2 linked regions of the Kluyveromyces lactis genome follow. The protein of the gene in region 1 interacts with the protein of each later gene in a pairwise test. Links are inferred from orthologs where the notes say so. Each region holds a gene or a part of one and is shown on either strand. Other genes may lie near its edges.

Region 1 (12,610 bases):
TAATCTCAAGTTGCTATCTTTCGGGAAATATTTCCTAAATTGGTATAAGATTGCATGGGATATGTGAAAGAATGTTTCCCATAAACAATAAGCGTGCTTGACGGAAGGAATTAGGTGACGACGGGTCGTATATACTTTGAGAGAACTAAATGAAATAGATTTTAATTGGAGATAGTTTAGATAAGAGATAAAACAGGCTTGAATGGGGTAGTAATTCCATGGTTTCAAATACTGTTGTCAGCACAACTGAAGACCGTACCATAAGCATTCGCCTGGAAATTGTAAATGATACTTTGAACGGTAGCGTATAGGCCTGGTCCCAGAACGTAGACTCCGAAAAGTATAAGGAATCCCGCTATGTAGAAACGAATTTTTTCTCCTTTATCCAAACATGGATAAGGATTAGTCTTTTCATATTTAGTTTGCTTTACCCTTAGGTATGCCATACCCCAGAATACAAATCCGAACCAGCAGGCGAACAAGGAACACATCAAAGATAATAGATCTGAGAAGAAAGGAATCACTTCTGCAACAATAAAGGCAACTATCCAAGTTAACACGATTATTCCGATCCAACTTAACCACCCGATAGTGGTATGAGAGTGCATGTGTTCTGAATTTTTGAAGACCTTGAAGAAAATGAATCTGGTTGTTATGTTAGAATAGAGAGACCCCACGAAAATGATGGTAGGCACTGCAAAAGAGTATGCTATAATCTTGTATTTTCTCGTTAAGGACCCATATGCAGGGGTGGTCATGTATTCATTACCGATATAATAGTACATTACAGCACCTGTTATTGAATAGATGACAACTTCGATTGCAGTGACAAGCAAGAACACCTTCTTGAAATCCCTCGGTCTTTTCATTTCTGAGATGAACTGTGGATAAGTGACTTGAGCAGCGAAAACGTACACAATGTTCAAAAATGCACCCATTGCATCTACATAACTTGTGCCCTTCTGTGGCCATAAACTGAATGTCAAATGAGTACCATCATAACCAACCGGGTGATCCTGGATTCCTACAAAGATGATAGCCAGTATTACCGAAATGAACATGGTAATAGCTGAGAAGTATGCAACTTTAGACATAGAGGCGAAGGTTCTTGGGATAGAAAACACAAAAGAAATGATTGCGGTAATGACACCAAATGCAACAGTACAGGTAGAGTGATTTGTGATGGTATTAAGGTACTTACCACCGACTAAGACATGCACACCCTGGATAAGGGTATTGTTGGCAACGTAACAAACAGCAGTTGCATACCATGCAAAATTACTTCCCCAAAATAAATGCTGTCCGATGTCACACGCATTTTTAAGATGAGGGAACTTTTCGCAGTAGTCTAAAATGATAAAACTGGTGTATAACACAACACCAGCAACAAACACCGTTAAAATAAGACCCGGTATTAAACCTAATACTGAATAGGACCATGGGAAAGACATCATGGCTAAGATGATGTATTCTGATAACATTAGACCTGTAATATGCTGCCATGAACTAGTCTTGTATTTAATCTGATGACCTTCTTCATCGCTTTCTTCAAAAGCATCACGGTAAGATAGGCTAGTATCATCACCGTACTGTTCAAATTCACCATCTTCCACATCGTGATTCTTGACGCTGGGTGTCTTGATCATCGTCTTATCCACCTCATAATTGTAAAAGGTCTTCCCACTCTCAGAGCCCTCAGGCTTACTTCCAAATGAACTCATCTCGATCATTATAATAGCTTGATTGCCGTAACTTTCTGTCACTTATAGGTGAAAGAGGGGAGATATTGGAAGATAGACGGTAGATTGGCCTTAAAGAGAAGAAATGTAGGTATTCTTACTTGATTTTTTCTAGCGATTCTTACTCCGATTGTGGTTGATTTGAGTCTTGAACCGGATGTTATCAAGTCTTGACAAGTAAGGTTGAGCTGAATATGGATTGTTAGTGTTAATGTTTTCCGGTATTATATTATACATTTATTAGCAGCTCGAGATGAAGGAAACATGCATGAAGCTCATCGACCAAGTGATTAGCTTGCCTATTTTATATGAAATATCGTTTTCCTTCAATCCTTTATCTCCCATGCATTCCTAAAGAGAGATAAAGTGGAGAGATTAACGTTAAGCACCTGCTTGCTATCTAGTTTGGAGTAACAGTTCATGATGTGTATTAAAGCCAGGATCTGCTATCAACAGCGACCTCAAGTTTTAAGTTTTTAGATTTCATCACAAAGCAAAATGATACCTAATATGGAAATATTTTGCGTGAATGTGAGAATTGTATTCCGAACCATTTTAGACTTTTTTATACCTCGACGATCTGCATGATCAGTGGAATTTCTCTGTTTATCTGCACGATAAGAAGAATAGCTATTCTGTTTTGTCGGCGCATTAGTGCCTGATTTCGATACCCCATTCGGGCCACTTTGTGTGGATGTTCTTTACTCAGTGAAGTGCCATATCAAGTCATTTCCCTTTATGGTGATGAAAAAAAAAAGGATTGGTACGTAAATTTGATGTCTGCTCTTGATGTTTGGTTTTATTTAAAGGAAGGATGAAGAAGTAATCACATTGTTATCTTTTACCGTTAGCCAGTAGTTCTGTAACGGCGTCTTTCATCGATATTTCATCGCTGGTCGCTGTTCTAGAGAAACGATGAAGCAATAGTGTAATATCGGTATTACTCTTATATTTAATACGTTCTTCAAATTGTGATAGAAAGTATCAGGATTGCCTGCCAAGAAAGCTTCTAGAGATACAAATAGAGTCTTTAAATATTTATGAATGGTACCAGGTGAAGACTCTTCATTAATTGCCCATAGAGGAGGCGATAGCGGATACAATACAGTGGAATCCTTGAAAAAGGATGGGGAAACGAGCTTAGAGTATGAGTTCTGGTATATGACTAAGACCTCCATCCCATTAATCATTACGTTTCTCTTGCAATGTTCATTATCGTCCTCAGCTTTGGTTTTCGCTGGAAGGGTTGGGACTTTAGAAGTTGGAGGGATTTCGATCGGAAATGTCACTTTCGCGGTCACTTCGGCTATATTTATCGGTATTGCAACATGTTTGGATACGGTTTGTCCTCAAGCGTATGGTGCAGGTAAGTACAACATGGTGGGACTGTATTTCCAAAGAGGTGTTGCCATTTCTTTCCTATTTGCCGTTCCGGTAATTGCATTTTGGTATAATTCAGAGTACGTTTTATCGTTTCTAGTGGAGGACGCTGACGTTGTCCATATCGCCGCTGTTTATTTGCGTATCATGATTCTTAGTCTTCCCGGCTATATCATATTCGAATGTGGTAAGAAGTACTTACAAGCTCAGGGAGATTTCGTAACTGGACAAAACATTCTGTTTGTCTGTGCACCATTGAACATATTGTTGAATTATTTATTTGTTCTAAAGTACAAATTTGGCTACATCGGATCTCCAATTTCTATGGTGCTGTCTTATACTCTTATGGGGCTCACAATTGTTGCATACATCTGTCGTCAAATATATTTTGGTAATTCTTCCTGCTGGCATCCGATAACTGGGAATTTCTCGGCAATTTTCAAGAATTGGGGTCCCCTTATTGCTTTAGCGCTACCAGGTTTGATCATGATCGAAGCTGAGTTTTTTGCTTTCGAGATCATCACTGTTTTAAGCGCGAAATTCGGAACGGAAGTCTTAGCTGCACAAAGTATTGTAGCGACCTTACAAACGTTTTTCTTCCAATTACCCTTCAGCTGCAGTGTGGCTGCTTCCAATAGAATTGCCTATCACATTGGTTCTGGAATCACGGAAAACTGCAAGACAGCGACGAAAGCAACTATGTTTGGGGTTGGTCCTGCTGCAGGAATAATAAATTTCACAGTGTTGTACTTCGGTCGTTACAAGTTATGTTCTTTGTTTAATGCGGACCCGGTTTTGGTAAATAAAGCTGCAGGATTACTCTGTGTCGTCGCATTAAATCAAATATATGATTGCTTCAATGTCATGGCTGCAGGTGTCTTGAGAGCTCAGGGAAGACAACGAATCGGTGGGTATTTAAACATAATGGCGTACTATCTAGTTGGGCTTGAAGTCGGTATTTTATTAGCGTTCAAATTCAAAATGGAAGTGCTCGGGTTCTGGATAGGTATCGGGGTAGGTGTCCTCTTCCTAGCTATTGGCGAGAACTATTTCGTTTACATATCAAACTGGAGAAATATTATTAGCAAATCGCAAGACCTACGCCATGAAGCGTGATCATTGACAGATTATACTGTTTTTTAAATACAGATCAAAAAAAATCAGAGAAAATATTCTAGTTCACTAGCAATTATTTAACTGGGCCTTGTATTTACATATATAGGTAAGGATACGTTCTTCTTAAGAAACTTCTTCGTGTTGATTATCATATTAGGCCGGAACTAATTATTGCCTGTTTTTCCGTTTTTCCGTTTTTTCCGATTCCTTCGTTGTTTTCCTTCAGCCAGAAACTCCAACAAAGATGCAAACATCTTCTCAAAATAAGGGTATATATAAGTGGTAAAAGAATCATGCAATTGAATAAGAATAAGAATTCGCTAATGAAAGAAATTGATCGGATATAATTAGAGTTTGACCATTCGGAAGAGAGTGTTTTTCAAATTGATTGTATTCTCTTCTCAGTGTGAGCGAGAACCATAGTCGAAAAGTGCATTGAGCCTGTCAAGAAAAATTATAAAGAAAGCAATGACCGAAGTAACGGAAACTGTTCATAAGAATGGACCATACTATTTCGATAGTAAGATCAGACTATCAGAGGGTATCAGCTATGCAGCTGAATCCAAGGCGCTCTTCTGGATTGATATCTACAATGCCTACATCCATAGAGTGACTGATATTGACGATATTTCAACTCATACTGTATGGCATGCATCAGTTGATAACTATGAGGGCTTGTACCCATTTACTACTGATCTACCAGAACGTATTGGAGCTATTTTCCCAATTGATAGAGCAGATGGTGTTGAAGAGGTTTATTTCGGTGCTAAATATGGGATTGCCAGAATGAATTACACCACTTTGAGATGGCAATACTTGGTTCACTATAGTGACAGCGGATTGCAGAAGGATTGGACAGGTTTACGATCCAACGATGGGAACGTCTCTCCAGATGGAGAAATATTCATCGGTATTATGAACGATTTCCATTGTACTGTTGATTCAGAGGACCCAAAGGGCGCACTACTAAAAGTGAACCTCCGTGAAAACATATGTGAGTTGGTAATAGATAAATTGATGATTCCCAATGCAATCAATTGGAGCCAGGATGGTACAACGGTATATTTCACTGATTCTCTAAACTTCTCGATTTACAAGTATCCGTACCAAGACAAAAATCTCATCGTGGAGGACAAGGCATTATTCATTGATATTAAGAAGTTCAATTCCCAATTCGATTCACCTGAACCTGACGGCAGTTTCATCGATCCCGATACGCACAATATCATCACAGCGGTATGGTCTACGAGTACGGTGCAAAGGTACGATACCAAAGGAGATCTAATCCACAAATGGACGTTCCCAGAGACCAATCGAATCTCTGCATGTACCTTGGCCCAAGGTCACATGTTTGTTACCACAGCAAACGAAATCATTGAAGATAACGCAAGTCCAGAGGGCCTTGGTGGATCCATCTTTAAAGTAGAGAATGTCTCGACTTATATGGGGTCCTCAAAGAGGAACCCGATTACGGCAGAGCATTAGAAGCCCTTATGATGCACGTGACATGTAAGGAGTTTGCGTTTTCAATCCCGTGATCCCCAGTTTTTCAATTTATCATATTTTACTAAGTATTAACAAACTACTGACAAAGCACTGACAAAGAATTTATAAACATAGAATAACTTATGAATGTTTATGGTTTATACGACAGCGAAACAACTATCAACTTACATAGTGTTTGTAACGTCTTAATTAAGGTGCCTTAATTGGCTGACTTTTCATTATGACAAATTATATTCGCATATTTGAGATTTATAAAATTTACTAATCTATAGCGTACTTTTGCCGTAATACTATATCTTCCTCTGAAGAAATTGAGAACAGGGTGATCAGAATTGCTCATATAGATTATTAAGTTTAAGTAAGGCTTATTGGCCCTACTTACTATGTCTATTATTAATTTTAGGTTATTGATTTGTACACCTACACCTTTTTCTGGGCCCCTTCGAACCTTTTTTTTTTTACAGTCTTCCCCTTTCTTACATGGATTGAAACTTTCAGTTTCAGGCACTATATAAATATAACTAAGGTAAAAAAGGAAATTAAGGAAGCCTTCTGCAGTTAAAGGGTTCAATTATAATAAGTTTAGTAGCTACAATTCTTTCCATCTCTTTCCTGAAAACCTCGAGAATTACTCATTCACTCACCCTAATATAACTCGGAATTATCTAACAAAAATGGCTAAGGTTGCTATTATCATTTATTCTATGTACGGCCATGTTGCTAAGACTGCCGAATACGAAAAGAAGGGTATCGAAGCTGCCGGTGGTTCAGCTGACATCTATCAAGTACCAGAAACTTTATCCGAAGAAGTCTTGAAGTTGATGCATGCTCCAGCCAAACCAGACTATCCAATTGCTTCTAAGGACACTTTGACGGAATATGATGCTTACTTGTTCGGTGTTCCAACTAGATTTGGTAACTTCCCAGCTCAATGGAAGGCTTTCTGGGATACCACTGGTGGTTTGTGGGCCAGCGGTGCCTTGCACGGTAAGGTTGCCGGTTTCTTTGTTTCTACCGGTACTGGTGGTGGTAACGAAATGACTATTGTCAACGCTTTGTCCACTTTAGCCCACCACGGTATCATTTACGTCCCATTGGGTTACAAAAACGTTTTCGGTGAATTGACAAACTTAGACGAAGCTCATGGTGGTTCTCCATGGGGTGCTGGTACCATTGCCGGTGCAGATGGTTCCAGAACACCATCTGACTTGGAATTGAAGGTTCACGAAATCCAAGGTAAGACTTTCTACGAAACTATCCAAAAGTTTTAGAATACAAAATACTCTCTCTATATGATACATAACAGTAAGATTTGGCAGATCCAGCATGTGCTTTGCACCGTGCCAGAGTACTAGAAAAAAAATATCAATCCGAAGTTTTCTGGCAGGTCTTCTGGCAAGCTTTTCGGCTTATATAACATGTATCCTACTGACATTCACGGTAACTGGTACTGTCAAATTTAATAAAAAGAGAGTAGATGCCCGCTCCGATCATGCAAGATGACTATATAATGTGTCTCGACATATGACAAGAATCGATGACACCACTATTGACTGAATCAGTGTATGGTATAGATCAAGGTAGAACTCATGTAAAATCCAGAACTGACCAAAGTGACAAAAATGAACAAAAAAAAAAAAAAATTTGTCCTGCTAAACAACGGATAATCCCTTGAAATTTAGTTGGCCCCTGGGCCAACTGAAATGTTCCAGTTCCCGTTTCATCTTCGACAAACTCAAAACGCTCCGCTACCGTGCGATTTTCTTTTCTCGCTATACATGTATAACTTGGGAAGTTAGAATTTCCAAAAATTGAAATGAATAATTAACTTGGAAACCAGCTCCATTAAAAAAAGCTAGGAGTTGTATTTCCTCAGTAAATTAATAAATTCAAACACAACAGAATATAGCGTCCGCCATACTAGGATCGGTTTATACTCTATTACCCTGTAACTTTACTTACATGTCTAAACACGGTCTGTTGTAAGACGTAAGCACCAAAGCGTCATAGACAAATTTTGCCTCCTTTTCGATCTTTTCTATTGAACAATACTGGCAAGCGGTACTCATTATTCTGTTTTCGTTTTTCTTTTTGGGAATTTAGTTTGGTTTCCTTTTCTTTTGGACTTTGGTTTGAGCTTTCAAATCCACTTTTTAAAAAGAACAAAGAACATATAGAACATATAGAACATATAGAATGTAAAGGTTTGGGGGAATAGGAAGAAGAGCAGGTTTAAGTGTGTATTCTGATTGCCTCGTTCGACGATTTTTGTTTTGTGCTAAGCATTTTCAGTGATAGTTACAATCTGCTTTAACAGAGAGAGAGTCCTTTATTTTTCCTGAAGCGATTTGTGGTATAAAGGAGAGTTAAACGATAGTGTGATTTTTCTATTTGGTCTACTTTCATTAGGCAAAATCAGATTTCTCACTATACTACTGTTGGACTGAAGGATAGCGTCTGATAACGCTTGATACCCTAGGCTTCTTTCGTTGTCTGGTTCTCAGTTTTATTTTATTTTATTATTCCATTAATTTTTTTGGATCGCAGGAATCACCTTCTACCATCCAAGCAGAGCTTACTTGATATAATTCAACCTAGCTTTTTTACTGCGTGATACACACGCGGTTGAACAAGACAGCAGAGTATAATATTCAGAAGGTTTTACCAGATAAACACAGCACGCTTTGCATTATGCAGAATAATTTAGCGGCGTATTTTGCTCAGGGGAATGCTTCTCAGGGGAATGCTACCCCGGGTAGAGTCGCATTGAACAGAAGCTCATCGAATGATGAATACGGAACAAGCAGTGTAAATAAACAAGTCCCAAATTACGACGATATGGGTCCTTCTGTGTCTATGGCGGTTCATGCTGATGACGACGACCATTTCAAGAATTCTACGTTCAATTTGAAAAGAACACGATCCATGGGACTGTTGGATCCATACATCGACGATACTCAGAAACTTCTGGCAGGTTCGAGCTCTGTTGATTCCGATAACTTCTCTAACAGTAACATCGATGGCTTGAGTAACGACCTCAATAGTGGTGACAGTAGCGGGAGCATGAATAATATTAACAACAACAACAACAACAACAACAACAACAACAACAACAACAACAACGACAACGAAAACAAAACTGATAATATCAATAAAAACAGTAATAATACTTCTTATAATGACGATAACGACGGTAATGATACTACGCTTAATGACACCGGGCTGAATAAACACAATACAACTGTTGGCGGAACCGACGAAGACTACACAGACGAAAACATGCAAGTCGATAACTACGACGATGACTACGAAGCAGATTACGATTACGACTACGACTACAAAGATGTAGAAGATTCTAATTCTCCTCCAGACCCGGGTACTGACGATTTCCTAATTCATCATGATGACAACGACTTGATGTATGAACCCAATAGACATGTGGATTACTTATCTCATAAATGGAACGAAAACGAAATATCTCAGTCATGGCGTTATATCATTTTGAAAAAGAAACGGAAGGACACAGATTTAATCAATGCTGCAAGGTTGGAAAATGCTTCCTGGAGAACTTGGTCAAAGGCTAGAAATAATCTGAAAACTGTGAATCCAGAATCTTTGAACTGGTCAAAGGATTCTGATGTAACTTGGTTATACGGTCCGATTGTAGTGGGCGATCAAAATAACTCGACGTCGTCATCAAAGCCCACTTCCAACGTTGAAATAGGAAACAATCATGCGGCCACCATGGGGTATGGTTCCGATGATGAAAATTCAAAAAGGTTGATCCAAAAGTCTCAGAGTCCCGGTCCTAAACCTATTCTAAAGAAGAGAACTGTTAGTGAAATTATCGAGGAAAACTCCAAATGGAGATTAGATATAGCAAGGCAGCACAGAAAGCAAACTAGTGACTTGCATGCTATTTTGGATCCGCAGTCAAGTCAGACAACGCATGACGATTATGATGCTATTGCCGCGAAGGTGAATGCACAATATTACAAAAATATCCATACACCGCCTGATGAATCGGTGGAATCTATTTCGCCCGTTGTGACCGAAACAAACTCGTCGATAGTAAATACCACTCCAGGTCCAATCTCTGGCTCTGTGATAGAAACCCCATCCGCAAGATCTGATCCTCCCATATTATCATCGATTCTTACATCATCGATGAAGCAAAAGCAAAAAAGGGAAAGACATATTCATTTCAATGACCGTGTCGAACAATGTATTGCGGTTAATCATAACCCCATAGACGCTAATCCTAATGATGACGAAGTCCCAATGACAAATACCGATTACCACTCTGACGATATGTCGGACGGTGCCAGATCTTCGCATCAGTATTCTGACTTTGACGATGGATATAGAAATTCAGGGGCCAACAGCGTCGAAGATTACGCCGATGACGAAGATGATGAAGACGCTGACAGCTACGATTATGATGAAGATGACGACGAAGATGACGAAGATGATGGGTTATTTATCAGTGCACATACTAGAAAAAATCGAACCAATTCGGGGGCTAGTGATGGCACAGATGTTGCAAATTCTTTAAGATCACTCTCACTATCCAAATTTCCAAACGCAACTATTAAACCACTTCCAGCCACTACTCTAAACTACGGATCTGACGATGAATATTATGATGAAGACGAAAATGAATGGTATTATGGTAACGCAGTATCACACAATGTGAATACTAGCAGAGGATTTGACTACATGTATGATTATAATTCCGTTTACACGGGGGATACATCCAACTTTGTAACTGTGGACAATTCGTGTGATATCCTCGATGTACCGGATGGCATTGGATTAGATACTCCAATACAGGACGCGAATGACGGATATATGGATGATGACTCAAGAGGGAAAATATATACATACCATCAAAGCCTTCCGGTACAAGATGATAACGATGAACATCCGGACAACGAATTCATCGCAGATTCTTCCCAACCTGGTTTCAGTCATGATGACGAAGAGCATGACGATAACGGTGAAGAACTAGAGCTTACTGCAAAAGACCCACTATCATTAAGGCGAACCTCATCTATAGGGAAGTCTAGAGCAAATTCCATTCATGATTTTATCACACCTTCCAATTCTGCATCTCCTGTTTTAAAACAGACACATAGCTTCATCACTGGAGAACCTTTATCTCAACACAATTCGACGGTAAGAAGACCACCATTAAAATCTCCTTCATCGGGTAGCTTTTTATTTGGATCTGATTCTGATTCTGAGTGATCGCTCAAGTGCTCTTAGGTATATTCGGAGTTCATTTTTTTTATTGAGGTTAAACTTAAAAATACCACTCTACCAGCATATATATTTTTTTTTCACTACGTAAATAGTATTAATTAGAAGAACAACAATTTTTCTTGGTTTTATCCATCTGCGTAGATCTCTCGCTCAGCGCTTAATGCTTCTATTGATTAACTTGCTACGGTGTTTTATTTATGTTGAGAGAGTGCGCTTAATTATATACTCAAACTACCATGTTCACTTTCTTTTAGAAGTATCATTGAATATGTAAAAACTGAAAATCGATTAAAGTTCATATTGTAAACAGATACATACACCTTTAAGATGCATAGCAAAGAAAAAGCTGTTCCAACAGACTATAAACCAGCGAGTTAACTATGCCGGATAGGTTACTGGGAAGTGAGACACCAGCTCTATCTCTAACTCCTGATAGTAGGACGCAATTAAGTCGATCTCCACTATTGGTGCCCAGTCATGCCTCAGATGATGCTAGCTCGTTGAACGATGATCTATCTGTATTATCTAGAAACAGGGATCAAATAAGGGACAGTATGTCTATGAGGCGTAGTAGTTTTGATTCCACATTCAATTCTTTTTCTACAACGATGCATACCCAAAAACACGGTCTTGATTATTCACCGTTGGTTGATAATTCAATATATGAAATTGTGATGAACACCAGATTTAAAAGATGGTTGCGGCACCCAACCACCGAGGATATTCCCCCTGTAGTTCTAAGCAAGAACGATATTAAGGATAAATGGGACAAGGATATTAATCAATACAGAGATGACATTAAAGACGAATATAGGGTGTATCAATCGACAAATAATATATCAAAGTTGAACCGAATGGAGCAAATGAGATCTATTGATCATGATAAAACTGCCCTTGGATTGCAAAATACGAAAGCCAAGGCATTTGAAGAAATACCTGAATTCTATTTTGATAAGGAGTTCAAATTAGATCACCCCAATTTCTTTCGAATGCTTCTACGAGATTTTGAGTTTGATGCCAATCAACTACTAAATGATGATGATAAAGTTAGAAATGACAGCTATGAAGAGCTTCAAGGAAGATTGGCATTCTACTTAGATACTGTTGAGGGACTCCTTGTTTCTGAAATCTCCAAGTCTATACAAAGCTTTTTTGACGCTTTGGAAGACGTCGATAAGATTAGAGAAAATGCGACAGAGACAATCAACGAGTTGGATTCTGCTGCTGAGGCCCTTGAGAGGATAAATGGGGATAAAATCTCAAAAAGAATTGAGATGATTAAAGATCTCATAAGAAGGAAAAATGTGGAAAAGTTACAACAGGGGATCCTACAAGTAAAACTAGCGAAAGAAAAATGTGAAGAATGTAAAGAAATATATCAAGAAGAAAAACTACAAGAGTGTTTGAAATTGGTTAAAGCAGTTGAGAACTTAATAAATGGTGACAATGATGATCCCACTGTCAATGATTGGACCTCTCAGTGGCCGTACAAACTCACAAACATCTCAAGTTTTTCTAGTTTACAGGGCATAATAGACATGCTAAATAATCTGAAGGTTGACATCGGGGGATCTTACTCATTGAGTCTGGTTACCGTACTATTG
Region 2 (13,306 bases), on another chromosome or scaffold:
GTTCCCAGAGACTGATCCGGCAAAGGTAAAAAAAGTCATGAAATTATTGGAAAAAGCCCAAGACAAGTTATTCGTTATTGGCGCCAAAGTTGAAAATGATGCGTACGATTTGAGACAATTGGATTCTTTCAAGGATCTACCAACAAAAAGTCAATTACAATCAGAATTACTGGGACTATTGCACGTCTTGAGCGGTGCTGGTTTAGTTCAAACTTTAGAAGCTGGCTCAAACATGTTGTACCTAACTCTAAAGTCTCACGAAGATAATATTAACCCAGATAAGCAGAAAAACGAGAATGACAGCGAAGGAAATTAAAGTCTTTTGCCCCATCATGAAATGTAATATAAATCATTTTTACGTATCGATGTACTTAAATAAACCCATCACATATTAATATAAACTCCTGTACATATTCTTTGCACGTGACTTTTTTTGATCTCATTTGTATATTGTAAAGAAATAAAAAGTTTTTGAACATGCACTGAATCAATTGAGTCGAGAAAACCTAGGCGATGAGGTTACAATTTTTCAAAGCAGTTACTTCCACCAACCGTTAATGTGTGTTGAATAAACATAATTGAATTCTAACAGTGACTCAAATTTCCTATAACTGCCTTTGTTAGAAAATATGAGTTTTAGTACTAGACGCCAGGCGTATCGTGCTGAGAAGCAAGATCATCGCAAAGAATTGAAACATGTCAAGATCGATGAATCTGTGATTGAAAAGGTGGATAAACTATCTTTACCTAAAAAAAAGTTTTACAGACAAAGAGCACATTCGAATCCATTCAGTGATCATCAGTTGGAGTATCCAATAAGCCCAGCTCATATGGACTGGTCAAAATTGTACCCTCATTTCTACGATAGTGAAAAGAAGAAAATGACGAAAGATGTTACCATTGCGGATATCGGATGTGGTTATGGTGGTCTTATGATCGATTTATCTCCAGAATTTCCCGATGAAATGATCTTGGGTATGGAGATTCGTGTTCAAGTAACGAATTATGTCGAAGATAGAATTATTGCATTGAGAACCAACCACGCGAAGGAAAACGGATATCAAAACATTAATGTATTAAGAGGTAATGCAATGAAATTCTTGCCAAATTTTTTTAATAAGGGACAGTTGTCCAAGATATTTTTCTGTTTCCCAGATCCCCATTTCAAGCAAAGAAAGCATAAAGCAAGAATCGTCACTGATACATTACTAAGTGAGTACGCATATGTGTTGAAAGAGGGTGGTATCATTTATACAATCACCGATGTTCTAGATCTACATGAATGGATGGTAAAACACTTAGAAGAACATCCTCTATTCGAAAGGCTTTCTGAAGAATGGGAAGCACAGGATAAATGTGTAAGCATAATGAGAAATGCTACAGAGGAAGGTAAGAAAGTTGAAAGAAATAAAGGTGATAAATATATAGCATGTTTCGTAAGATTACCAACTCCAGATATAATCTAATATCTGTCGTATATAATACTACATATTACTTCGGGTACTATTCAAGAATATTTGTACAAAAACGAGTTAGAAAGTGAATACCTTAAGTACCTATAAAAGATGCATTATTGAAAACAAGCAGTTGAAAACAAGTGGCAATATCATTAGTTCGGAGGCTGATTATTGGATACGGCACCATACTCGATTTGGTTTGTATCATTGGTGCTCCGTAAGTTTCGTACCTTATTATATATCAAACAGACAGTCTCCGAGCCTCTTCTTATAAATTTTTTCAATGGTTTAGTTTGAGTTCTCTCTTCCTTCCATTGAAGAACCTGGGTCAATGTTGGTGGTTGTATCTCATCTTTATTAAACATGGATTGTGCATTCGAATAAACACTTTTGCGAGATCTCGTTGATGGTGCTACTTCTCCTCCACCACTTACTAGATGAGACTGTTGTTCTATTTCAGCGGAGGTCCCTGACTGGAAACTGAAGGTTGATGACCTGTCATCAAAAACAGAATCCATATCTTCTAATCTTAAACCAGCAGTCTCTGGATAAACTTTTAACACACACCAGAATGACAAGTAGCAGGATACAGTATGAATCAAGTACATTCTCCAATGGATTTTTTCTTGCAAGATAGGAGTCATGATACCTACTAACCAGTTAAACAGCCAGTTTGTAGCAGTAGAAGCAGATGCCATTGCAGATCTTGCCATTGCAGGCGCAATCTCAACAGGATATAGCCATGGGATTGGACCCCAACTGTAACCGAAAAAGGCATTAAAGATGATCACGAACACGACCACTAATCTTGGAGTGGCAGCAACATTCGCCCATAATGACATGGCTATTGCAAGCAAAGAAGTTCCCATTACCAGCGCCCCGGAGAGTAGGATTGGTTTTCTCCCCCATTTATCAACTAATTTCCATGGCAAAATAGTGGACAATATGTAAATGATGGAATTAATACCTGTCATCAACAAGGCCTCTCTACCAACCCATCCAGCTTGTTCAAAAACAAGAGGCGCGTAATATGATATAACGTTGATACCGTTTAATTGAGCAAACATTTGAGAGCTCATTGCAATTAGCATCCTGGTTCTATACCGTTTAAAAGCAAAACGTAACGATTTCTTTTCACCTTCCAGTCTTGATATGAGGACTGTTTCCTTGATCAGCTTATACTCCTCATGAGCTTTTGAATGCAAAACGTCACCATCACTATGTAAGTCTGCTATGACCACCAACCCTTCAATATCATGGTCGTGATTTAATAACCAACGGGGAGTCTCAACAATAACAAACGACCCTAAAAATAACAGCAAGCCCATAACACATTGAATGAACAAGGGTAATCTCCAAGAAGTATCTGATTCTATATAGGAGCACGCATAATCGACCCAAACACTAGACGCATAACCAACAATATTTCCTGTAAACTCAATGCAAGCCAATTTTCCTCTGTTATGTGGGGGGCTAATTTCTGATTGATAAATGGGTACAATGGTACTTAATAAACCAACACCAATACCACTAATGATTCTACCAAATATCATATGACCCATTTCCCATGAAAACGTCTGAACCAATCCACCTAAAATGAAAATTAAAGATCCATATTTTATAGTGAACCTTCTACCGAATTTTTCACCAATATTGGAGACTAGTAAGGAGGAAACAAGAGCTCCAATCTCAAGAATTGAGACCATAGTACCAATAGTTGCCGCAGTTGGGTTATTGAAATAAGTCTTGAAATATGGGCCAGTGATAATACCAGACATAACACCTTGATCGTAGCCAAACAAAAATACGCCTAGTGACACAAATATCGATGTGAAGTACAATAGAGTTCTTCCCGTCAAATAAGTATCCTTAACCTGTAAGTGATCAGTGTAGCTAGGTGGAATACGTTGTTGATCTAATGGTTGAACATTTGGAGGAATTACAATTCCGTTAGTTCCGCCAACGGCATTTGGAATGTTGAAACTGTTTCTAAATTGTAGCTGATCAGAATTCTTCAAAGCAGATTCCTTGAACAAAGATGGATTTCCCGGTTTCTGCAATTCCGGAGCACCTTTCTTGTCAGTGGTGTCCAAAGGTGATGGACTATTGTCATCCTCGATATCCGTATTGACGATACCCCTGGACGAATTTTTGTTATGCCTATCTTTATCGGTACTATCAGACATGATGACGATATTGGGAGGACAGGTGTAAAAAAAAGTCAGAAGACCAGCAGTATATTCAGCCGAGCCAAAGTGAACTATCGATTGAAAGAATTCAAGAGGCTAACTTTATTCGAGTAATGTCACGAGTCTTGCTTGCAGAGAGTATCTAAAGAACAAATTCCGGGGTAATTGAAATAGGAGAATCGAATGTTAAAGTAATAACGCTCTAAATTTCAGACCCTGGTCAGCAAAACAGCACTATCGGTGAAATTACTTTGCGAGATGTGAACGAAAAACAACCTATTAAGCGTAAACAGGTATGCCAGTATTGCCTATGCTATATATGTAATTTGAACAGTCAGTCATTCCAAAGTGACTGTTTTTCAAGATCATTACGTTTCTTATGGAAACTGAACTTTTTTGTTGTCTGGAATGGCGAAAAACAAAGCGTCGATGAAGAAACGTCATTTACACGTGATGGAAGGCCGTCCACGTGATCAAATTACCTTTCAGAGAAAAATAGTGTCCACGTGAAAGGAGCCATTCGGAAAGCCACCCTTGTTACCGTCAAGGTTCCTTATGATCTCACTTCGGGATGTTTCTTTGTTCAATAAGTGGAGATAACATTCTGACACGTTAACTCAAGACGCGAAATAGCAAATAATAGAGAAAAAGAAAAAATTAATACCGTCTTACGGAACAGCAATTGATGAGCACTAAGCCACTAAATGCCCGATTCGTCCAGACGTTTGCCACCCCAAATGACTTGGTGTATAGATGACACCAATCGGAACTACTGGTGCTGAAATATACAACTTATTTGCTCTTCCGTACGTGTTAGTTTTTACCTACCGTCCATTACTTCTTGTATTGTCGCTTCATCATGAATCATTTTTCTTTTTAGTTAGAAACCTGTGGACCTTTCCTTTTTTTTTCGCATCTTTAGACAAAGACATTTCGAAGCTTTCCTTTTAGATACCCGTCAGCGAAGATAATTACCATTAACAGCATGGTTAAATCCGGGCTATCGCTGTGGATATTTTTGAGTGCTCTCAGCCGTTGCTGTAGACCAGGAAATGTCTTTTAGCATTGTTCTTCATAGCTTTCCTTATCGAGTAAGTATACTCAGTAAACTTTCTTAGACAGGCCCTTGCACAAGACGTGGCTCATCGGAATTTCTTTCATAAGCACAACCTCATTCCGTATTTGTACAGCTAGAACGCTATTTCGAAGAATGGAACATGGAAAGATTTCACTTAGTACTAACTTTTCCAGATATGGTTATCGCACAGCTTTCAAATTCCGAAGCTCTTACCAATTCCGGAAATATCCTAAGGAATCTTTCCACCTTAAGCCAGACATTATAGCTCTCTCGCTGGTGTTGCAAATTCTCCTTCTCAATAATACTAAGTAGGTTTCTCCACGAAAACACTTATGGTTTGAGAGAGCGAATTGATGCAGTAAGTTTTTTCGTAGTCGTTCCTTTTTAAGAGCGCTAATCGTTTCTATTGGTTTCAAAATTTCTTTGTTCTTGTTACCATACGGTTACGAGATTGTTTCAACAAGAAACAATTCGGTCCACACACCAGTCTAAACGTTCCCACGATGAGATCTTCAGTAATGCTCAGCCATGAAACCTCATGGTTTTCGTCTGCGTTGGCGAGTTTATATAAATGTGACAATAGAATACTCAATGTCCTCCGTTTCAAGTTCAAACTGAAAGCTTGAGTAAGGCTATAACAACACTTGTTCTAAATAAGATCAAACCATAACATCAACAAGGCTTTAATTTGACGATTTCACTCCTTATTTTGCATTCACCCAGTTCAGATTAAGCTTCATACAATACACCGTCATGAGATTAAATTACGTTTTATCAAAGACCTTAGCTCTTGCTTCCGTTGTCTCTGCTGCTGCCGTTCATAAACATCACGCTGCTGAAGAAAAAAGAGACGTTACTGTCGTCGTAACAAATTTCGTTGATCAAAATGGTCAAGTCTTGGTTGACGGGCAAACAAGTGCGACAGATGCCACAACGACCTTGCAACCAGTTACTGATATTGGTGGTGGAAAAAGTGTTGAAACTACAACGGTAACGTCATCATCAGGTTCATCTAGTTCTTTATCGGGTTCCTCAACCTCTTCCTCCGGTGGAACCAGTTCTAGTTCTAGTTCCACTTCTAGCAGCAGTGACGCTTCTAGTTCAAGTTCTGGTGAATATGGTGGTGCTTTGGGTATCACTTACTCTCCATACACCAGCAGTGGTTCTTGTAAGTCTTCAGACACCATCAAATCCGACATTCAGAATTTGTCACAATTCAGTGTCATTAGAATCTACGACACTGACTGTGACGCGATGGAAGCAATTCTATCTCAATTACAAAGCGGTCAAAAGATCTTTGTTGGTATCTACGACATCGATAACATTGCCTCCAGCGTCAGTGCAATCGAATCTGCTTTCAACGGTGATTTCTCCAAGGTTTACGCTATTTCTGTCGGTAACGAACTGATCAATGCAGGAACGAGTACCGTTTCTCAACTGAGTAGCGCTGTTGAATCAGCTAAATCTAAATTGAGTGCTATTGGCTACACAGGTGACGTTGTCACCGTTGATACCCTAGTGGCCACCGAAAACAACTCTGGTCTATGCAGTATGTCAGATTTTATTGCAGTTAACTGTCATCCATACTGGGATGGTAATGTGGAACCATCCAACTGTGGACCATGGGTGAAACAGCAATTGGACAACTTGTCTTCTACGTGTAACAACGGCAAGAAAATCATCGTCACTGAAACTGGCTGGCCAACAAAGGGTGACACTTACGGAAGTTGTGTTCCATCCAAATCAAACCAAGAAACCTGTGTCCAATCCATCATCGACACTCTAGGTTCCCAAGCCATCTTATTCACCACATACAACGACTACTGGAAGGATGCCGGTGCTCAAGGTGTTGAGCAATATTGGGGTATCTTCGGCGATAGCAGTGTTTAGACAATTTAGCAACCCCCCTCAACTAAAACACGTATCTTCTCATTATCCTTCAGTTCTCTAACTACTCCGCAAGCTTTCTACATCAAGGTATATCTTTTGGAATTTTTATATATCTAGTCTCAAACCAAATCCGCTTTGAGAATACCTAGACCCGCATACGCTTAGGCATGTACATAGATAGAATATATAAGATCTAATTTCAACTGTGCTTCGAAGAACACGCAAGTTGAACTTAACAAACCCCGGAGAATAGGCAATTCATATACTTAAAGATTGGAGGCGCGGCATTTGTCCCTCAAATGCATGGTAACCATAACCATCAATCCATTCCAATCCAAGTGGAATCTGAATTCTAGACGGAGGTCTCGAAGAGACCATCATCTTCACCCATACTTACTGATCGCACGATCGTTTCTATGAACATTCTTTCTCGATCTCAATTCCGTTACGATGATCTGGAAAGAAAAAGACGGATTTTTTCGAAAAAAGACGTTTTATTTTTATTGTTTGAATTTTCCATTTTTTTTTTTTTTTTGGCGAAGCACCTTTCCTTTTGATCTATTTTGCTTGAATGATTTTCAGATCAAATATAGTATAAATAAAATGTGTTACATGTTAACAAGTACATGAGATTTAAACTTTGATCTGTAGTTTGTACGTTGCCTTTTTTTTTGCTCTGTATAGGTTGACTCACTTGTGCAGAGTGAATATTAGCTGGCACATCTTTTTCCATTTGGTTTAGAGAGGAGGAACAGTTGTTATTTCGATCTGATATATTGAGGAAATATGCAGTTTGTGATACCGCTGCTATTATTAGTCTCTGCGATAAAACCAGTTCTGGGTCAGCAGTCTGCGGCGGAAAATGACGGAGGGATAACGGCAAGCAACGGTACAACAAGTACACTATCTCCTTCCTCATCTTTGGCGTCTTCTTCCGAAGAGCAGTCGACGTTTACCGTTATTACTAGTTCGAGTGATGGGGAAGTAAGTAGCACGGAGGAACCCTTTGTTTCATCGTCTGAAGCCCCAGAAGAGACTTCGATGTCAGAAGTGTCGACGTCTTTCATTTCAACGGATATCTCATCTAGTTCTGAGCTTCCTTCTAACACCACTACTAGCAGTAGTAGCAGTTCTTCATCCGAGTCTTCCACATCATCATCATCTACCAGTTCAAGCACAAGCTCTTCTACCAGCACTTCTAGCGATCTGGATGAAACCACAACATCATCTGAAGAGGAGACAACTTCTACATCAGTGGAATCATCGTCTGATCCGACCACCACACATCCGCCGACCACCATCACTTCGGTGATCAACGGTGTCACGATTTTGAGCGATAGGTACACTACAGTTACTTTCACACCTACTAGTACCAGCGATCCCGACAGCAGAGAAGGCCAACACACGGGACTAAGCGACAAAAATAAAAGGATTGTGATCGGTGTTGTTGTAGGGTTGGGTGTCCCGATCTTGCTTGTATTATTGGCATTGATCTACATTTTCTGCATCAAACCAAAGAGAACGAACTTCTTAAACTCAGAGGGTAAAGTGGTGACCGCATACACTTCTGGTAAAGTGTCTAAATGGTGGAAAGCATTCATGGGTAAACAAACGGACGATTACGTGACGGAATCTCCGGAATCAGGTATCGATGAACCATCAGTGTTGGCGCCAACAAGAAATAATACTGTCGGTAGAAACAACACCGATGGCCATAGAAAATCTCATTCCAACGAACTGATGTTGGATGAAGAAAAATATTACGATGATGACGGTAATGAATTGAACGGTAGAAACTACTGATCACTGCTATATTCTTTAAACATCCAAAAAAATAAAACTAAACCTATCTATCATGGTGGTGTATGTCGACTGGGTCGTCCAATTTTTTTTTCTTCCTGCATTTTACAATAAAACACGGCATGGTGTACTCCTTGCATTTGAATTCATTTATCATTGCCGAAACATTTGACTAATCCCCCTAATTATAATTCTATTTCGACCCATTCGTTTCACATACACTCTAACTGCTATTCCGATCCCCTAAACCTTACTTTTAAAGAGTCCACCTATAGTGCATGCATATCAAAAATTAAAATTGTCAGATACTTCATTATACTGTGTAAAATATATCTAAAAAATGACAGAGAGAAAAAGAAAGCTTATATGTATTCTGGAGTTGACCGAATTTAGCTGAGCACACGTATCTACTGAGCTTCTTTCAATCATCACCTTGTCGGTCTTTTAACAGTGTCACAATGTTATAATCGTACCTAACCGGGTAACAAAGGTACTCAATCATCCTTTTTCCTTAGTTTTTTTTTTAATATTTACTGTCGCTACATAGTTAAGATCTTGACTTTTTAAGATATTCGATTCTTGAAAGTTTAATATCATTTCTTTTGTATGCCTTTGGATATCCAATTAGATTTAAACAAACAAAATGGCGCTCGCGGCTAATAGCATCAACTCTGATCTCCCTCTGTCATACGTTTCATTACTTCTACACACTTTCAAAGGTTACCGGGACGATGGCTTTCTGTTTAAATCTCCGTATATTAAAAACATCATGTTTTCTTTATTATATATATTAAAGGAAACGTTTTTCCACCGTAAGTGAAATTTTCAAAAATTCTCTGTCGAAATAAAGTACATCGTAGCCAAGAGAACAAAAAAAGGACAAGACCCAGAGACAGCAAGCGTCGGCGATTTGGACTTATACGTAAATTCTTTATTGGTTCTAATACGTTCTGTTTCTCTGCTTTGCAGTTGAAGTTATTGAGAAGCTTTATCACTATCTTTGTCGTTTTTTGCGTTTCCCTTACGCCAAATCATCATCTTAAAGAGAAACCGTTGGTGGCTTTGATATACTACACATCTTTTTACTGATCTGCAGCATATATGAGTGACAATCCGTTTGAGTCTTATCTCGCACGAGACCAGCAACCGCCACAGCCCGCTGTCGATGTGCTTTCGCAGCCTAATGCCTCACTAGAATATTGCACGGTGTCAGTGGAAGATACGATAGCACAATTAGGAACTGATTTCGATAATGGTTTATCCAATCCATCAGAAATTGCTTATAGGAAATCAATTTGGGGATCAAACGAAGTCCTACCTGATGAGAAAGTATCTCTTTGGAAAAAATTCTTGTCTACATTCATTGAAGACCCTTTAATTCTTTTGTTGATCGGATCTGCAGTTATATCTTTCTTAATGGGAAACATCGATGATTCCATCAGTATTGCTCTGGCCATCATCATTGTTGTTACCGTCGGGTTTGTACAAGAATATAAGTCAGAGAAGTCATTAGAAGCATTAAACAAGTTAGTCCCAGCGGAATGTCATTTGACAAGATCAGGGCAGTTATCCCATGTTCTTGCGTCAAACTTAGTTCCAGGTGATTTGGTCAGATTTAAGGTCGGTGATAGAATTCCTGCTGATTTAAGAATTGTAGAATCTATCGATTTGTGCGTAGATGAAAGTAATTTGACAGGTGAAAATGAACCAGTACACAAGAGTTCTGGTGCAGTGGACCCTAAGAACTACTCTCATATACCTGGATCCATTATTCCAGTTGGCGATAGAAACTGTATCGGATTTATGGGTACTTTGGTCAGAGAAGGCCATGGTAAGGGAATAGTCATTGCCACAGGCAAGCATACTGTTTTTGGTTCTGTCTTTGAAATGATGAGTGGTATAGATAAGCCAAAGACTCCATTGCAGACAGCAATGGACAAATTGGGTCAGGATTTGTCCTACATGAGTTTCGTTTTGATTGGTATTATTTGTTTGATTGGTATTATCCAGGGTAGATCATGGTTGGAAATGTTCCAGATCGCTGTTTCTCTAGCGGTGGCTGCTATCCCTGAAGGTTTACCAATTATTGTTACTGTTACTTTGGCCCTAGGGGTCTTAAGAATGGCTAAACGTAAGGCTATTGTCAGGAGGCTTCCAAGTGTTGAAACTTTGGGTTCTGTAAACGTTATTTGTTCTGATAAGACTGGTACTTTGACCGCAAATCATATGACTGTTTCAAAGATTTGGTGTTTGGGCAGTATGGAAAATAAAACTAATTGTTTGGCATTATCTAAGGTGAAAGAAAGACCGATTAAAATGGAGCAAGATGTTGCTACCACTTTGAGAATCGGTAACATTTGCAATAATGGGACCTACTCCCAGGAACATCTTAAATACCTTGGTAATCCAACAGATATTGCCATCTTAGAGTCATTACAACATTTTGGTATAAATGATTGCAGAAACTCCGTCAACAAGATTAACGAAATCCCTTTCAATTCGAAGAGAAAATTTATGGCTGTCAAAACTATCGATGCCAATGATAAAGTGGTAGTATACGTGAAAGGTGCTTTCGAAAAGATTGTTGAGAAATCCATCAACTACATTGGCAGAGACGGGAAGGTGCATAAGCTGAAACCAAATGATAAAGCCATCATTAACGATGCAGCTGTTGCACTGGCTTCTGAAGGACTTCGTACACTTGCTTTTGCGGAGCTGGAGGTGAGCGCCACCCATGGTGACAAAGAATTCAATGAAGACATGGTTGAAGGCTTAACATTTACTGGTCTAATTGCTATGAATGATCCACCTAGGCCGACAGTCCGCAGTGCCATTGAAGAACTACTCCAAGGTAGCGTACATGTTATTATGATCACAGGTGATGCTGAAAACACTGCTGTTAGTATTGCTAGACAAATTGGAATTCCTGTCATCAACCCTGAATACAGTGTGCTTTCAGGTGATAAGCTGGACCAAATGACTGATGACCAATTGGCTAGTGTTATTGATCATGTTAACGTGTTTGCTCGTGCTACCCCTGAACATAAGTTGAACATTGTTCGCGCCTTGCAAAAGCGTGGTGATATTGTAGCAATGACTGGCGATGGTGTTAATGATGCACCTGCCTTGAAGTTGGCAGATATAGGTGTGTCTATGGGTAAAATGGGAACTGATGTTGCCAAAGAAGCCTCTGATATGGTTTTAACCGACGATGACTTCAGTACAATTTTAACTGCCATTGAAGAAGGTAAAGGTATTTTCAATAATATTCAAAATTTCTTGACTTTCCAATTGTCTACCTCAGTTGCTGCTCTTTCGTTGGTCGCTATTTCGACTTCTTTGAAACTACCAAATCCTTTAAATGCCATGCAGATTCTTTGGATTAATATATTAATGGATGGACCTCCAGCTCAGTCCTTAGGTGTTGAGCCTGTCGATCATGAAGTTATGAGAAAACCCCCAAGAAAAAGGACTGACAAGATCCTAACTGACGCTGTCCTCAAAAGAGTGTTGATTAGTGCATGTTTTATAATTGTTGGAACAATATATGTCTTTGTCAAGGAAATGGCAGAAGATGGCCAAGTTACATCAAGAGACACAACTATGACATTTACCTGTTTTGTCTTTTTTGATATGTTTAATGCCTTGTCTTGTAGACATGCAACGAAATCCATCTTCGAGATAGGATTCTTTGCAAACAAGATGTTCAACTATGCTGTGAGCTTATCTCTTTTAGGACAATTATGCGCCATTTATATACCATTCTTTCAGGGTATTTTTAAGACAGAAAGTCTTAGCCTGGGAGATTTACTGTTCCTCTTAACGTTAAGCAGCAGCGTTTTCATTGGTGATGAAATCAGGAAATACTATGTCAAGAAAAATAGATACTTGGACTCATATAGCTCCTCAATTGTTTAATTGGTCTGATAAAAAGTTATATATTTCATGTATTCATGTATATTAAATTGCAACGAGCATTTATATGTTACTAGTTATGGTAATATGCATTAGTGTTACTTTTATGAATAGTATATATCGGAAGCTAAAATACTCTGGAACATTTCACTAAAAGTTAATGATGTTGTTACTAGCTGCCTTCCTTAATCTGTTCATAATTGCTAGCCCTTCTTCGTTGGCTTCTGTTCCCTCTACAACAATTAGGTCTACGTTGTCTTCTTCATCAACTTTTCTCAAAAGAGCAAAAAGATTGGCTTGGATCTCCTTGCCTGTTGTACCGAGTGATTCATGTATGCACTTGCCATCTATGAAATGTTTATTCAAATGTAAGCTGTTCAAGAATGCAACCTTTTTGGCACCCTGCTGTATGATTTCCTTGTCAACTAAGCTTTTCAGTCTACCCAATCTTTCGGATGATATGATTTGCGAATCGCCTTCAGGCACCAATAAAATAACCTTAGCCTTAGGGGAATAATGTCTATATTTCATACCTGGAGTTTTGACTTTTTCATCGTCCTTGATGTTTACTTTAGTCTCTACCAGACACTCTTTCCATAGAGGTCCGCCAATGTTTAGAATATTCTCATAGGTAAAACCACCTGGCCTTAATAACATTGGCGGAGTTACAAGCCCATCGACTACAGTAGATTCGACACCAACAGAACATTTACCACCATCTAAAATAAGTGGTATTCTACCATTCAAGTCATGGAATACGTGTTCAGCGGTCGTTGGTGATGGTCTTGTAGATGCGTTGGCTGAAGGTGCTGCGATTGGGGTATCACTCAATGCTATTAATGCTCTTGCAATCGGATTAGCAGGGATTCGACACGCAAATGTTGGTTGATTTGCAGTAGTCAATTTGGATAATGTGTTTCTGTTTGAACCGTCGGGAATTGATAAGAGTATGGTAAGTGGCCCAGGCCACAGTTTTT

What was found.
Region 2: the proteins of KLLA0_F04323g (region 1) and MID2 interact in a two-hybrid assay, tested with the Saccharomyces cerevisiae proteins (2 studies listed by BioGRID, with this or other methods). The link is inferred for Kluyveromyces lactis from reciprocal best matches to the Saccharomyces cerevisiae genes PST2 and MID2.

Annotation. Positions count from the first base shown.
Region 1 is NC_006042.1:404,728-417,337, forward strand, and holds KLLA0_F04323g (uncharacterized protein), read left to right. Parts: upstream 1-6,415; coding exon 6,416-7,012; downstream 7,013-12,610. Other genes in the region: KLLA0_F04257g (uncharacterized protein), read right to left, coding at 225-1,730; KLLA0_F04279g (MATE family efflux transporter), read left to right, coding at 2,784-4,235; KLLA0_F04301g (regucalcin), read left to right, coding at 4,704-5,720; RPI1 (protein phosphatase regulator REG1), read left to right, coding at 8,433-10,991; VPS54 (Vps54p), read left to right, coding at 11,387-12,610.
Region 2 is NC_006037.1:280,339-293,644, reverse strand, and holds MID2 (Mid2p), read left to right. Parts: upstream 1-7,400; coding exon 7,401-8,417; downstream 8,418-13,306. Other genes in the region: MRPL11 (mitochondrial 54S ribosomal protein uL10m), read left to right, coding at 1-316; TRM8 (tRNA (guanine46-N7)-methyltransferase), read left to right, coding at 630-1,466; KLLA0_A03223g (uncharacterized protein), read right to left, coding at 1,610-3,643; KLLA0_A03201g (uncharacterized protein), read left to right, coding at 5,478-6,614; Ca(2+)/Mn(2+)-transporting P-type ATPase PMR1, read left to right, coding at 9,516-12,332; SUA5 (threonylcarbamoyladenylate synthase), read right to left, coding at 12,480-13,306.